Linked DNA regions of Caenorhabditis elegans. The protein of the gene in region 2 interacts with the protein of the main gene of each other region in a pairwise test. Each region holds a gene or a part of one and is shown on either strand. Other genes may lie near its edges. The genes, in order: gst-19, nhr-111 and gad-1.

Region 1 (3,753 bases), on a different chromosome or scaffold from region 2:
GGGTGGACGCTGTCCACGATCTATTCAAAGATTTCTATCTTCGATTCAAAAAGTTTACCGCAGAACGACGCAGTGGAAAATCCAAGGAAGAACTTGAAAAGATCAAATCCGAGATGTTCTTGCCTGCTAGAAATACCTACTTCAACATCCTTAATGGGCTTCTGGAAAAGAACAAGTAGGGATTTCTCCTCGGGAGTGGCATCACTTTTGCGGATCTTGTCGTTGTTGATAATCTGGAGACTCTGAAAAACTACGGGTTCTTTGAAGCATCGTAATTTCCAAAGCTGGGCAGCTCTTCGCGAGAAAGTGGTTTCTTATCCAGGAGTTAAGGAGTATATTGAAGCAAGTTCAGTTGCCGAATATTCATTTTAAGCCATTTGTATTTATGTATGTGTCATGTGATTTGAAGTGTAAAATAAAAAGATTTGACCCATAATTATAAATTCATTTATAGAGAACATAGAAAAAAACTAAAAATCAGAAGCTGTACGACTAGATACATATTCCTTGATCCCTGGCTGCGAGTACACTTTCTCTAGAAGAGCCGTCAATTTCGGTTGCTCCGATGCATTCAGAAATCCAAAGTTTCTAAGAGTCTCCAGATTATTGACGACTACAAGATCCGCGTAAGTAATAGAATTTCCGATCAGGAATCCGGACTTGCTTCTTTCCAGCAGACCATTGAGAAGCTTAAAGTAGGATTCCATAGCTGGGACTACAGATTCTGACACAACTTTTGCGACTTCTTCCTCTGATTTTCCGCCACGCTTTGCAACCAGGAACTTTTTGAATTCTACGAAGAAATCCTTGAACCGATCGACTACGGCGTCCACCCAAGCTCGATCCTCTGGAGTTTTCCCAGCAAATCCGAATTTCAGAGCAAGGTAGCGGAGAATTGCAGCAGATTGGGGGATCTCAAGTCCGTCGACGCCTAGGATGGGTAGCTGACCCATTGGGGACTCTGGAATTGGAAAAATATTTTTTCTGGGCTTTGAATGTTCGTTAATAATTTTTGAAAAATAAAAATTTCAACAAATTTGAAAGCTGAAAAAATTTTGAAAGGTTTTAATTTGAGTTTCTTTCAAAATAATTTTTTTTTCGACATTTTAAACAAGGGGTGTGCGGCAAATTTGCCCAATTTGCCGAATTTGCCGATTGCTGAGCTTGGCAAATTTGCCGAATTTGCCCAGCACTGTAAATTTTCGAAAAAAAAACAAGATTTGCCGGATTTGCCAATTGCCGAGCCCGGCAAATTTCGAAAAAAAAGTAGATTTGCCGAATTTGTCCATCACCGCAATTTTGCCAAATTTGTCCAGCCCGGCAAATTTGCCGAAGTTGCCCAGAACGGAAAAAATTCGAAAAAAGTAGATTTGCCAAGTTTGCCTTTTGCTGAGCACGGCAAATTTGCCTAATTTGCCCAGCACGGCAAATTTCGAAAAAGTAGATTTGGCGAATTTGCCGATTGCTGAGCTCGGCAAATTTTCCGAATTTGCCCAGCACTGTAAATTTTCGAAAATAAAAAAAAACAAGATTTGCCGGATTTGCCAATTGCCGAGCCCGGCAAATTTCGAAAAAAAGTAGATTTGCCGAATTTGCCCATCACCGCAATTTTGCCAAATTTGTCCAGCCCGGCAAATTTGCCGAAATTGCCCAGAACGGAAAAAATTCGAAAAAAGTAGATTTGCCAAGTTTGCCTTTTGCTGAGCTCGGCAAATTTGTCTAATTTGCCCAGCACGGAAAATTTTGAAAAGATAGATTGCCGAATTTGTCGAGCTCTGCAAATTTTGAGATTTGCCGCACACCCCTGTTTTAAACCTGTTTATTATATAAAATTTAATTTTTTGAAAATTCAAATTTTCTACCTAAAAAACTATAAAATAAAACCCAAACTCACTTGACTTCACAGCTCCCCACTCCTCAAAACTAAACCGTTCATCTTTAAACGGGCAATCAGCTAGATGGAACAAAAGTCTCACCGGCTCGCCGAGCCCACGAAACGGGAAATAGGTAAATTTGTAGGAAGGCATGATTGTTTGAATTCTGTCATGGTGGGCATAGTTGTTTATATATGGCCCTGAACTAGAGTAAACCTCAATGAAACAGTGCATGGCTAAAGTCACGTCCGTTTGTCTAGGCGTCTGCGTCTTGGTTTCTTTGAATTTCTCTAGAGTCACATAGTATTATAGTTATAAACTTCACTATCGAAAAATTGAAAAAATGATATATATATGTATACATTGACGGTTTGCCGATCTGCCGGAAATTTAGATTTTCGGCAAATAGCCAATAATTTGCTTACTTTCCAAAATAGATGTAGGAAAATTCAAGATGTTTTGCTGATTAAAATTGAAATTCGGAAATTTCAAAAAAATGTGCAAAACCACAATTTGATTTGTTTGCCGATTTGCCGGAAAATTTCAATTCTGGAAAGTTGCCGGTTTGCCGGAAAATTTCAATTCTGGAAATTTGCCGGTTTGCCGATTTGCCGAAAATTTCAATTCTGGAAATTTGCCGGTTTGCCGATTTGCCGAAAATTCAATTCTGGAAATTTGCCGATTTGCCGGAAAATTTCAATTCTGGAAATTTGCCAATTTGCCGAAAATTTTAATTCTGGAAAGTTGCCGATTTGCCGGAACATTTCAATTCTGGAAAGTTGCCGATTTGCCGAAAATTTCAATTCTGGAAATTTGCCGGTTTGCCGATTTGCCGAAAATTTTAATTCTGGAAATTTGCCGATTTGCCGAAAATTTCAATTCTGGAAATTTGCCGATTTGCCGGAAAATTTCAATTCTGGAAATTTGCCAATTTGCCGAAAAATTTCAATTCCAGAAATTTGCCCGTTTGCCGATTTGCCGGAGTTAATTGTTTGTCGCCCACCCCTGATATGTATATATATTGTACTATTACAAAAAATTTTATTTAGCAATTAGTTTTGGAAAAAAAATCAATGCTCAGTAAATGGACGATTAGCAATATAGTTCTTAAGAGCCGAGTGTGAATACACTTTTTCACGGAGAGCTGCCAATTTTGGCTGCTCTTCAGCCTTGAAAAGTCCATAGTTTTTGAGACTGTCTACATTTTCGGATATGGCAAGATCTGCCAAAGTTATGTCATCTCCAACAAGATATCCTGACTTGTTCCTCTCCAAAATACCATTGAGAATTTCAAAATATGGATGTCTAGCAGGAATTAGGATCTCAGAGGTGAGCTTTGCGAGCTCATCGGCTGGAAGTTTGTTTCGTCTTGCTCGGATCATTTTTCGGAAGACTTCGAAAAAGTCTTTGTAAAGATCAGTTGTAGCGTCTACCCAGGCTTGATCCTTTGCGGTTTTTCCAGCGAATCCGAATTTTCTGGCAAGGTAGCTATTGATTGCTCCAGACTGAGGAATTTCAAATTCATTGGGGTCGCTGTAGTGTGCATTGGGGTCGCTGTAGTGTGCATTGGGGTCGCTGTAACAATTTTGCTGGGAATTTTTTTTTGGAATCCTTCTGAAATTTCCGAAAGCAAAAAAAAACTCACTTTTCTTCTTTTTGTCCCATTCACAACTCGGAAAAACCATACGTACATCTTCAAAAGGTACTCCAGCTGAATGGAACATGAGCCTCGCGGGCTCCGCGAGCCCACGAATCGAGAGAGAGGGTTTTCTCCAAGAGTAAATGATTCGCTTTTCCACCAGTTTTTCATAACATTTTCGGCAACTTTGCAAATTGCCGGAATTGAAATTTCTGGCAACTTTGCAAATTGCCACGTTTT
Region 2 (3,753 bases):
TGCAAAAAAAAAAAACTTTGGCGGCCAAATTTGCAGCCAACTACTGTTTTGACTTGTAAAAAAACTGTTCAAAATCGTTGTAACGTTTTTGGAAGTATTTCAACTGATCGAGAAGAAAATTGTTTAAAAAATTTGGTTGCCTTGGGGGAATCTGGAGAAAAAATAGGAAAGAAATTTGGGTTTGAACATTGTTTTTGAGGAAACAGTTGCAAATTAAATGAAAATCTCTAAGCCAGGACCTATGCCAAGGCCTAAGCCTTAGCCTAAGCTTAACCGTAAGCCTAAGTCTAAGCTTAAGCTGAGCACTACTAGTGAGCAAAATGGGGGTAATGTGTGCATATAACAGCATCAGAAAAATAGTCAAAATTTAAAGAAAACTAATCACAATCTCACAAGCTTTAAGATCCAGGAGAGATTCAAGCTGTCTAGTAGAATAGGATTTAAGCTCGCCGAGGAGAAATAGAAGCCTTCCAGATTTGGACTTTGAAGACTCCAGGTGCAACTGATTGAGAAGGCCGATACAGATATCAAGTTGGCGATCGAATTTGAGATCAGTGCCATCTTTGGCTGAAATTTTAGTTTCTGAAAGCTCAGCAGCTTTTCTAGTTAAACTTACTTTCCGTGAAAATAATAATTCCCTTCAAGAGGAAATAATCCTGCGCCGAAAGTTCGAGGGATTTGAATTTCTCAGCCAGTTGTGCAAATTTTTCATCGATGAAGATTTTTTCGGAGTTTTCGAACAACGCGAGGCACAAAAGATGTGGCCACTGGGTCAGTATGATCTGGCTCTGGAAATTTTTTTAATGACTTTTATGTTTGGCATTTAGACCTTTTCAACATCGGAAAGCACTGCGAAGAGCGAAAACTGTTGCACCCACTGGAGTGCGTTTTTCAGATGAACTAGCACGGAGCTTGTGTCCTGAAATTAAATTTGTGGTGTCTCAGGTTGATAGTTTGTCTCCTGATTAACTAACAATTTCATGTTGAGCATGTTCGTGTTGGAATCTGAGACGATCAGAGTGAGTAGGCAGAAGTCCCTTGGAATACTCTCGGAATGAGGGCAACTCGACATACTCTACAGTGTAGCTATGGGAAGTTCTCTCGGGTTGCACAGCTGGAAAATAATTATTTAGAGACGAAACTGTGTCGCCTTCGCCGGCTTCAGGAGGCTTCTGCCGGCCTCAGGCCTTTGTTAATATGGTGCGGCGCGAAACTCAAAAAAATGTCGGCCACTGAAAAATACCTACCGCACTATATGGTGCAAACACAAAGTTAATGATCTGAAGCCCAAACTCAGAGAAGCAGCTTACCATTCTTATTCATCCCCTTCTTGAAGCACTTTTTAATTCGACAGGACTTGCACCTGTTCCGGTTCGCTTTATCAATCACACAGTTTCCGTCTCCATTCCAACATCCATGTACCAACTTGTTTCTAACGGTTCTTCTGAAGAACCCACTGCATCCGAAACAGGTTGGCACACCTAAAATTCATTGTTATCTAGTTTCTAAATCTTCTTTCCAACCGTAATGATTTCCGTTAGAAGTGTCCCCACAAACTGCACAAAGCGTGATTGGAAGAGTTATGTTGTTTTGCGCGGGGTCATTTACAATCTGCGGTTGGATGACCAGAGGCACTGAAAGTTATAGATATGCGTGAAAGATTGTAAATCTTCTGTCATAAAACTTTTGAACTAAGTAAATTGAGAAGCTGATAAGTGCGGTCAAGTTTTGTAAGCTTCTGGTTTTTCTACTTACCGCCCGCAAACCTCTGTCAGGTTATAACGTAACTGGGATCTAAATAATGGAAACATAGAATACATTTTTGAGATGTCAACAAGTATAGTACAAAAATTGCTATCAATCTGTTCGAAAATGTCAAAAAAATTCCAAAATCTAGAAAACAACGTTGCAAGTTTGTTTTCGACTTCTAAAAATTTTCTGATATATTTTACCAAATGCTTTCATTTATACATTTCGGTGAGTTGAGTAATTATCTAGTTAAAGCATGAAAAAATTTTTCGATCCCATAAATTGGGGCATACCTGTTGAAGTTTCCAAAATGCCACCGATTGACTTCGCATTTTGGCTGCTCATCTTTTTTTGTTAAATATTCTCTCGTTGAGTAAGTTGAGAATATCCTGTCAGTATCTACAATAATAGCATAAAAATAATTTGGTTACTGCTCAACTTCTAATCACGACTCCTCCCACTTGACCTGTTGGAGGCAGCCGGCTTAGTACAAGAAGGATAAAGTGACAGTTAGAGAAACGAGAGAAAAGGTGCCAAAAGTTGAGCAGCAATCTCTCTAAAATTTTTTGCAGATATACCATACTTCAGATCACTTGTGTATTTAAAGTTGAAATCAATCAGAAGCAAACATTCACTAGGGAATGATCGAATTGAAATAAAATTTGGACTATAAATTGTTGAGTCATAGAAATGCGGAAATTGTCCGCTGGAAATATATGATATCACATTTTCTGAAAGCGGAAATTTTCGTAATATATGTCATTTTTCATTTAAATACTTTTTCATTTTAAACGAAAAATGTCTTTAAGCTAACCTAGCGCAAAAGATGGTGGAAAAAAAACTGAGATCTTCATTGAAAATTTCAGAATATTCAGATTTCGATTCAGTTGTATATTTAATTAAATTCTGAAATTTGACATACATTTTCCAATTACGTACTTTTCAGATTTTGGTCATTTTCAGTTAAATGCAATAAAGATATAAAACTGTAAAACCTATGTATAGCATCTAGTATACTCGGAAACAAGTATTTTCTCACATTCAGTTTCTAGTCAAAAATATCAAAACGCTCTCAATGTGAAGCACAAAAGCCCAGCAAAAAATTGACTGAACCGCACCAAACACATCTAAAAAATGCCTACTGCTTCCTAGCCTACACATGTGCTCACCATTTCCCGCAGCTATTCCTTTTTATCGAATCGTACGTCGTTATCCGTCACTGTGTTTACACAAGTCTAATTTTTCAGAAGAGCATATTAATCATCATTCCATTTTTTATGGCTCCCTACTGAATGGGGTGATCAAAAACTGAAATTATGCAAACTGCAAAATTCTACTTTTGACCTGAAATTCGAGCCGTCGGTCTGTCTCAAATTTATTCAATACAAAAACTTTTAAAAAAAATCATATTTTTTAAAATTTAATTTCAGTCACTGTCCACAATCTTCTTTTTTGTCAATCGAAAGTGTTCTGTGCTAAAGTCCAAGATAAAATCTGTGCCATTCTCGTTATAATCAATTTTGGCCCGTTCTTCTCCTTCGTAGTCCAGAATGAAAACTCTCACTATTTCGATAATGTTGGTTTCGGGGAACTTGAAGCACCCGTTCTCGAAGTCCACTGATTTTGTGAGCAACTGAAAATAATACTTGGATTTTTTTTCGATTTTTTATTTAAACTTACATCTCTCAGTTTTACTGCATCCTCTTTTGAAAAGCAAGGTACAATTACATAGAACTCTCTGAAATGGAGCATATCCTCGACAGAAACCTTATAACTCTTCCAGAACGAATCAAAAACTTGTGCTCTTTTCCATTGCTCAAGTTTAGCGATTTTCTCGAGATCTGTGGGCTCATTGGAAAGCAGCTCAATTTTTTCAAGATATCCAGCTTTTAGGAAAGGGATCACTAATAGAAGCTGCTCCTCGGAGAAATCTGTCCCATGAAACTTTTTAACGTGTAGGCAAGACATGGAGGATTTCAAAACATCAAGAAGAGTTGAAAAATA
Region 3 (3,753 bases), 9.7 Mb from region 2:
TCGAAAAAAATTGTTTAACTTACGAGAAAGAACCATATCTTCTCGAACAACTTCAGATGCGCGATTTCTTTTGAGTGGCTTCGTCACACATGACATAACTCCTCGCTGTGACATCGTTTGATCGTAGTACACGTGAATGGTGCCATCCGAGAGTCCAGCGATAATTTGATTCAATCGCGGGTGCCACTGAATTCGGTGGCACGAAATTCCAGGGTAATCAATTTTATAGACAAGATCAAATGTCATTGGATCAAAGAATTGTAATGTTCCAGGTGTATCCTTGTTGGGTGACGATGTACCAGTGAAGACAACCTCGGCACGAGGGGAGAATCCGCAATCAGTACTACAAAAAATATACTTATGGTGAAGTTTTTAATAGAAGGATACCTTTTGAAAGCGTTTTCGAGACCGGTTTTCACAAGAAGCGGCTCTTTTGGGTTATCTAAGCTCCACATCTTCAGAGTGTCATCAAAACCTCTAGACAGTAATCTCTTTGAATCGGGCGAAAAAGCAATAGAAGTAATCGAGCCGTTGTGAGCTTTGCGTACAAGGTAATTTACATTGACCTAAAATTAAAATATGAGAATAAACAGTGTTTTTGAACTTCAACTTACATATTGCGATCCATACTTCCATGCTTGAACAGATCCGTCATCACAACCGGCGGCAATCCATTTTCCGTCAGGAGAAAACGTGCAAACTTGCGGGCTGACACGTTTTCCATTAGCTCCTTTTGTTTTGATGACTTTCCTGTGCTTGTTGATGCATTTGGTGATTACTTTATGATCATCGAGGTTCCATAGTCGTAGACTTCCATCATCAGAACAAGAGATAAACTCGTTCTTGTTTAGTGGATTGAATTCGACACAGTTAACTGTTGCTGTGTGTCCTTTAGTGATGTTTAAATCAATAATATACTGATCTCCACGAACTGTTTCAGACCATTGTTTTCCTGCTCGATCCAGTAGGCGAATGATAGCTTCTCCACTAGCTACTACAAGAGTTTCGCCGTTCGGAGAGAATGCCAGGGAATTGATAACGTGACTTTCTGCAGGCAGAAGCTCTTTGTCGTATCTCATTGACATGTCCATTTTTTGAAAATCGAACAGCTTCACGTAATAGTCAAGCCCTCCACTGGCAAACCGAACACCAGGAGGCTCAACCCGAAGTGCACTGATGGCTTGAGTGCCATGGCTGATCTTCGCTTCACATGCAGCTGGAATCAGTTTGATGATGGAGATTGCTTCTGTCTCGTCAAAATCGCTATCATCACTATCTTCGGGACCTTCAGCTCGAGACGAGGAGGGGCCCGCTTCAGACTGTTGCATTTGGAATCCTGGAGGTAGATCTGGCATGAAATCTGGAAAAAACAAATTTGAAATAATTAAAACATTATATTCGGCTTACCATCTTCATCATCAGATACAGCTGAAGAAGAAACACCAGATTCTGATTTAGAAGACACCGATACCGACTGCGGAACGTGAGTTGGTTCCTCAGTTCTGGGAGCATTGCTTATCGTTTGCGCGAACATTGCTTGGAGGTCAAAGACGCGTGCCTTCTTTTCAGAATTCTTTTTTGGAGCCGTATTATCATCCATTGTGGTGATCTGAAAGAATTATTGAAATTCGTTTTCATCTATTAGGCGGTAACGGGAAAAAAAGAGTTAATAACGAAAAGAAACGTGTAATACAACCAATATAATGAACTGCCGTGGTACATATATAATATTTTGGCGAAAAAAACTAATAAATTCTGGAAACAGTCCTGGAGTTCTGATGAAAGCTGAAAAATGTTTTCGAATTTCGAACATTGAGGACGTGGCTGACTTGTTTCGGAGACTAGGCCGCGGAGAAAGTGTGGACAATCGGACATTACTTCGCGCCGAGACCCTTCCACAAACCGTATTCGTGTTCCTTGGCACCATTTAAATTCTTTTCCCATTTTCAGTTTTTAAAGTTTTTACGCGTCATCAATTATCGATTTTTGCAGTTTAAATTGTTCAGAAATGTTTTATTCATCATTTTGTCATTGCTCAGAGAAAACGAAATACATTTTCTTCTAAAAAAATCAAATTGAAACCATTGCAACATGTTGCACAATATTCTAATTTTCCATCACAACTCTGTGCAATGTAGAATAACCAGTTCTCTATAAATATCTTTTTTTTCGCATTTTTGAGTTTCTTCCCCGAATTAATTACTTTAACTCTCTTTTCGTGTTTTATATAATACAATTACAGGTAATCGGTGACGTGCAGCACAAATAGAATATGAGCGCTCCCGCAGCAGGTGCTACCGCCGGAGGCGATGACGCCGCCGATAGAAATGTCGAAATGTGGAAAATTAAACGGCTCATCAAAAGTTTGGAATTAGCCAGAGGGTAACTATTTTCGTGAAGCGTTTATTTTACATTTGTTTTTTTACAGAAATGGAACTTCTATGATTTCGCTGATCATTCCACCAAAAGATCAAGTGGCTAGAATCCAGAGAATGTTGGCCGAAGAGTACGGAACGGCATCTAACATCAAGTCTCGTGTCAACAGACTTTCCGTTTTGGGAGCTATCACATCAGTACAGGGAAGATTGAAACTCTACAACAAAGTCCCACCAAATGGATTGGTCGTTTACTGTGGAACAATCATGACCGACGAAGGAAAGGAAAAGAAAGTTAACATTGATTTTGAGCCATTCAAAGCAATCAATACTTCATTGTATCTCTGCGACAACAAATTTCACACCGAAGCTCTTCAAGGTATTTCTAATTTTCATCATGCATCATAAAATATACCATTTTTCAGGTCTTCTTGCTGACGATAACAAGTTCGGATTTATCATTATGGATGGAAACGGTTGTCTGTTCGGAACACTCCAAGGAAACACTCGTGAAGTTCTGCACAAGTTCACTGTCGATCTTCCAAAGAAGCACGGTAGAGGAGGTCAATCTGCTGTCCGTTTTGCTCGTCTCCGTAATGAGAAGCGGCACAATTACGTCCGTAAAGTAGCTGAAAATTCGGTGGAACAATTTATCAAGAACGACAAGGTTACAGTTGCTGGACTTATTCTTGCTGGTAGTGCAGATTTCAAGACAGAGTTGGGACAATCTGATATGTTTGATCAAAGACTTCAAGCCAAGATGATCAAGACTGTCGATATTGCTTATGGTGGTGAAAATGGTTTCAACCAAGCTATTGAACTTGCTGCCGATACGCTGGCAAGTGTTAAGTTCATTCAGGAAAAGAAACTGATTGGTGGATATTTCGATGAAATCAGCCAAGACACTGGAAAATACGTTTTCGGAGTTAAAGACACTCTTGCCGCACTTGAAATGGGAGCTATTGAAACTCTCATCTGCTGGGAGAATTTGGATATTGTTCGGTACAAGATGAAAAATTCACTCGGAGAGGACATTCTTCTGAATCTGAGACCTGACGAGGAGAAGGACAAATCTCATTTCACCGACAGTGAAACTGGACAAGATATGGAAATTATTGAGACTATGCCACTTTTGGAATGGTTTGCTAATAACTACAAGGTGGGCGCTCGCTTTATCGAAATTTAATTTTTTATTAATGTTTTGTAGAACTTCGGAGCAGCTTTGGAAATCGTCACAGATAAGTCGCAAGAAGGAGCCCAGTTTGTTCGAGGATTCGGAGGTATCGGAGGATTGCTCCGTTATCGCGTTGACTTGGCTCATGTAGACCTTGAAGACGAGCTCGACAACATTGACCTTGATGACTATTGATCACGGGCG

The links.
Region 1: the proteins of nhr-111 (region 2) and gst-19 interact in a two-hybrid assay, tested with the Caenorhabditis elegans proteins (2 studies listed by BioGRID).
Region 3: the proteins of nhr-111 (region 2) and gad-1 interact in a two-hybrid assay, tested with the Caenorhabditis elegans proteins (2 studies listed by BioGRID).

What each region holds. Positions count from the first base shown.
Region 1 is NC_003280.10:13,625,115-13,628,867, forward strand, and holds gst-19 (glutathione transferase), read right to left. Parts: upstream 2,032-3,753; 5' UTR 2,028-2,031; coding exon 1,895-2,027; intron 962-1,894; coding exon 471-961; 3' UTR 431-470; downstream 1-430. Other genes in the region: gst-17 (glutathione transferase), read right to left, coding at 2,945-3,449, 3,520-3,539.
Region 2 is NC_003283.11:16,122,688-16,126,440, forward strand, and holds nhr-111 (Nuclear hormone receptor family member nhr-111), read right to left. Parts: upstream 2,153-3,753; 5' UTR 2,095-2,152; coding exon 2,043-2,094; intron 1,635-2,042; coding exon 1,524-1,634; intron 1,482-1,523; coding exon 1,311-1,481; intron 1,115-1,310; coding exon 975-1,114; intron 920-974; coding exon 830-919; intron 789-829; coding exon 617-788; intron 568-616; coding exon 368-567; 3' UTR 208-367; downstream 1-207. Other genes in the region: fbxa-143 (F-box domain-containing protein), read right to left, coding at 3,176-3,382, 3,430-3,753. UniProt on the Caenorhabditis elegans protein: Orphan nuclear receptor.
Region 3 is NC_003283.11:6,431,888-6,435,640, forward strand, and holds the start of gad-1 (Gastrulation defective protein 1), read right to left. Parts: upstream 1,610-3,753; 5' UTR 1,601-1,609; coding exon 1,408-1,600; intron 1,361-1,407; coding exon 615-1,360; intron 567-614; coding exon 388-566; intron 344-387; coding exon 24-343; intron 1-23. Other genes in the region: erfa-1 (Eukaryotic peptide chain release factor subunit 1), read left to right, coding at 2,273-2,382, 2,429-2,754, 2,801-3,534, 3,583-3,744.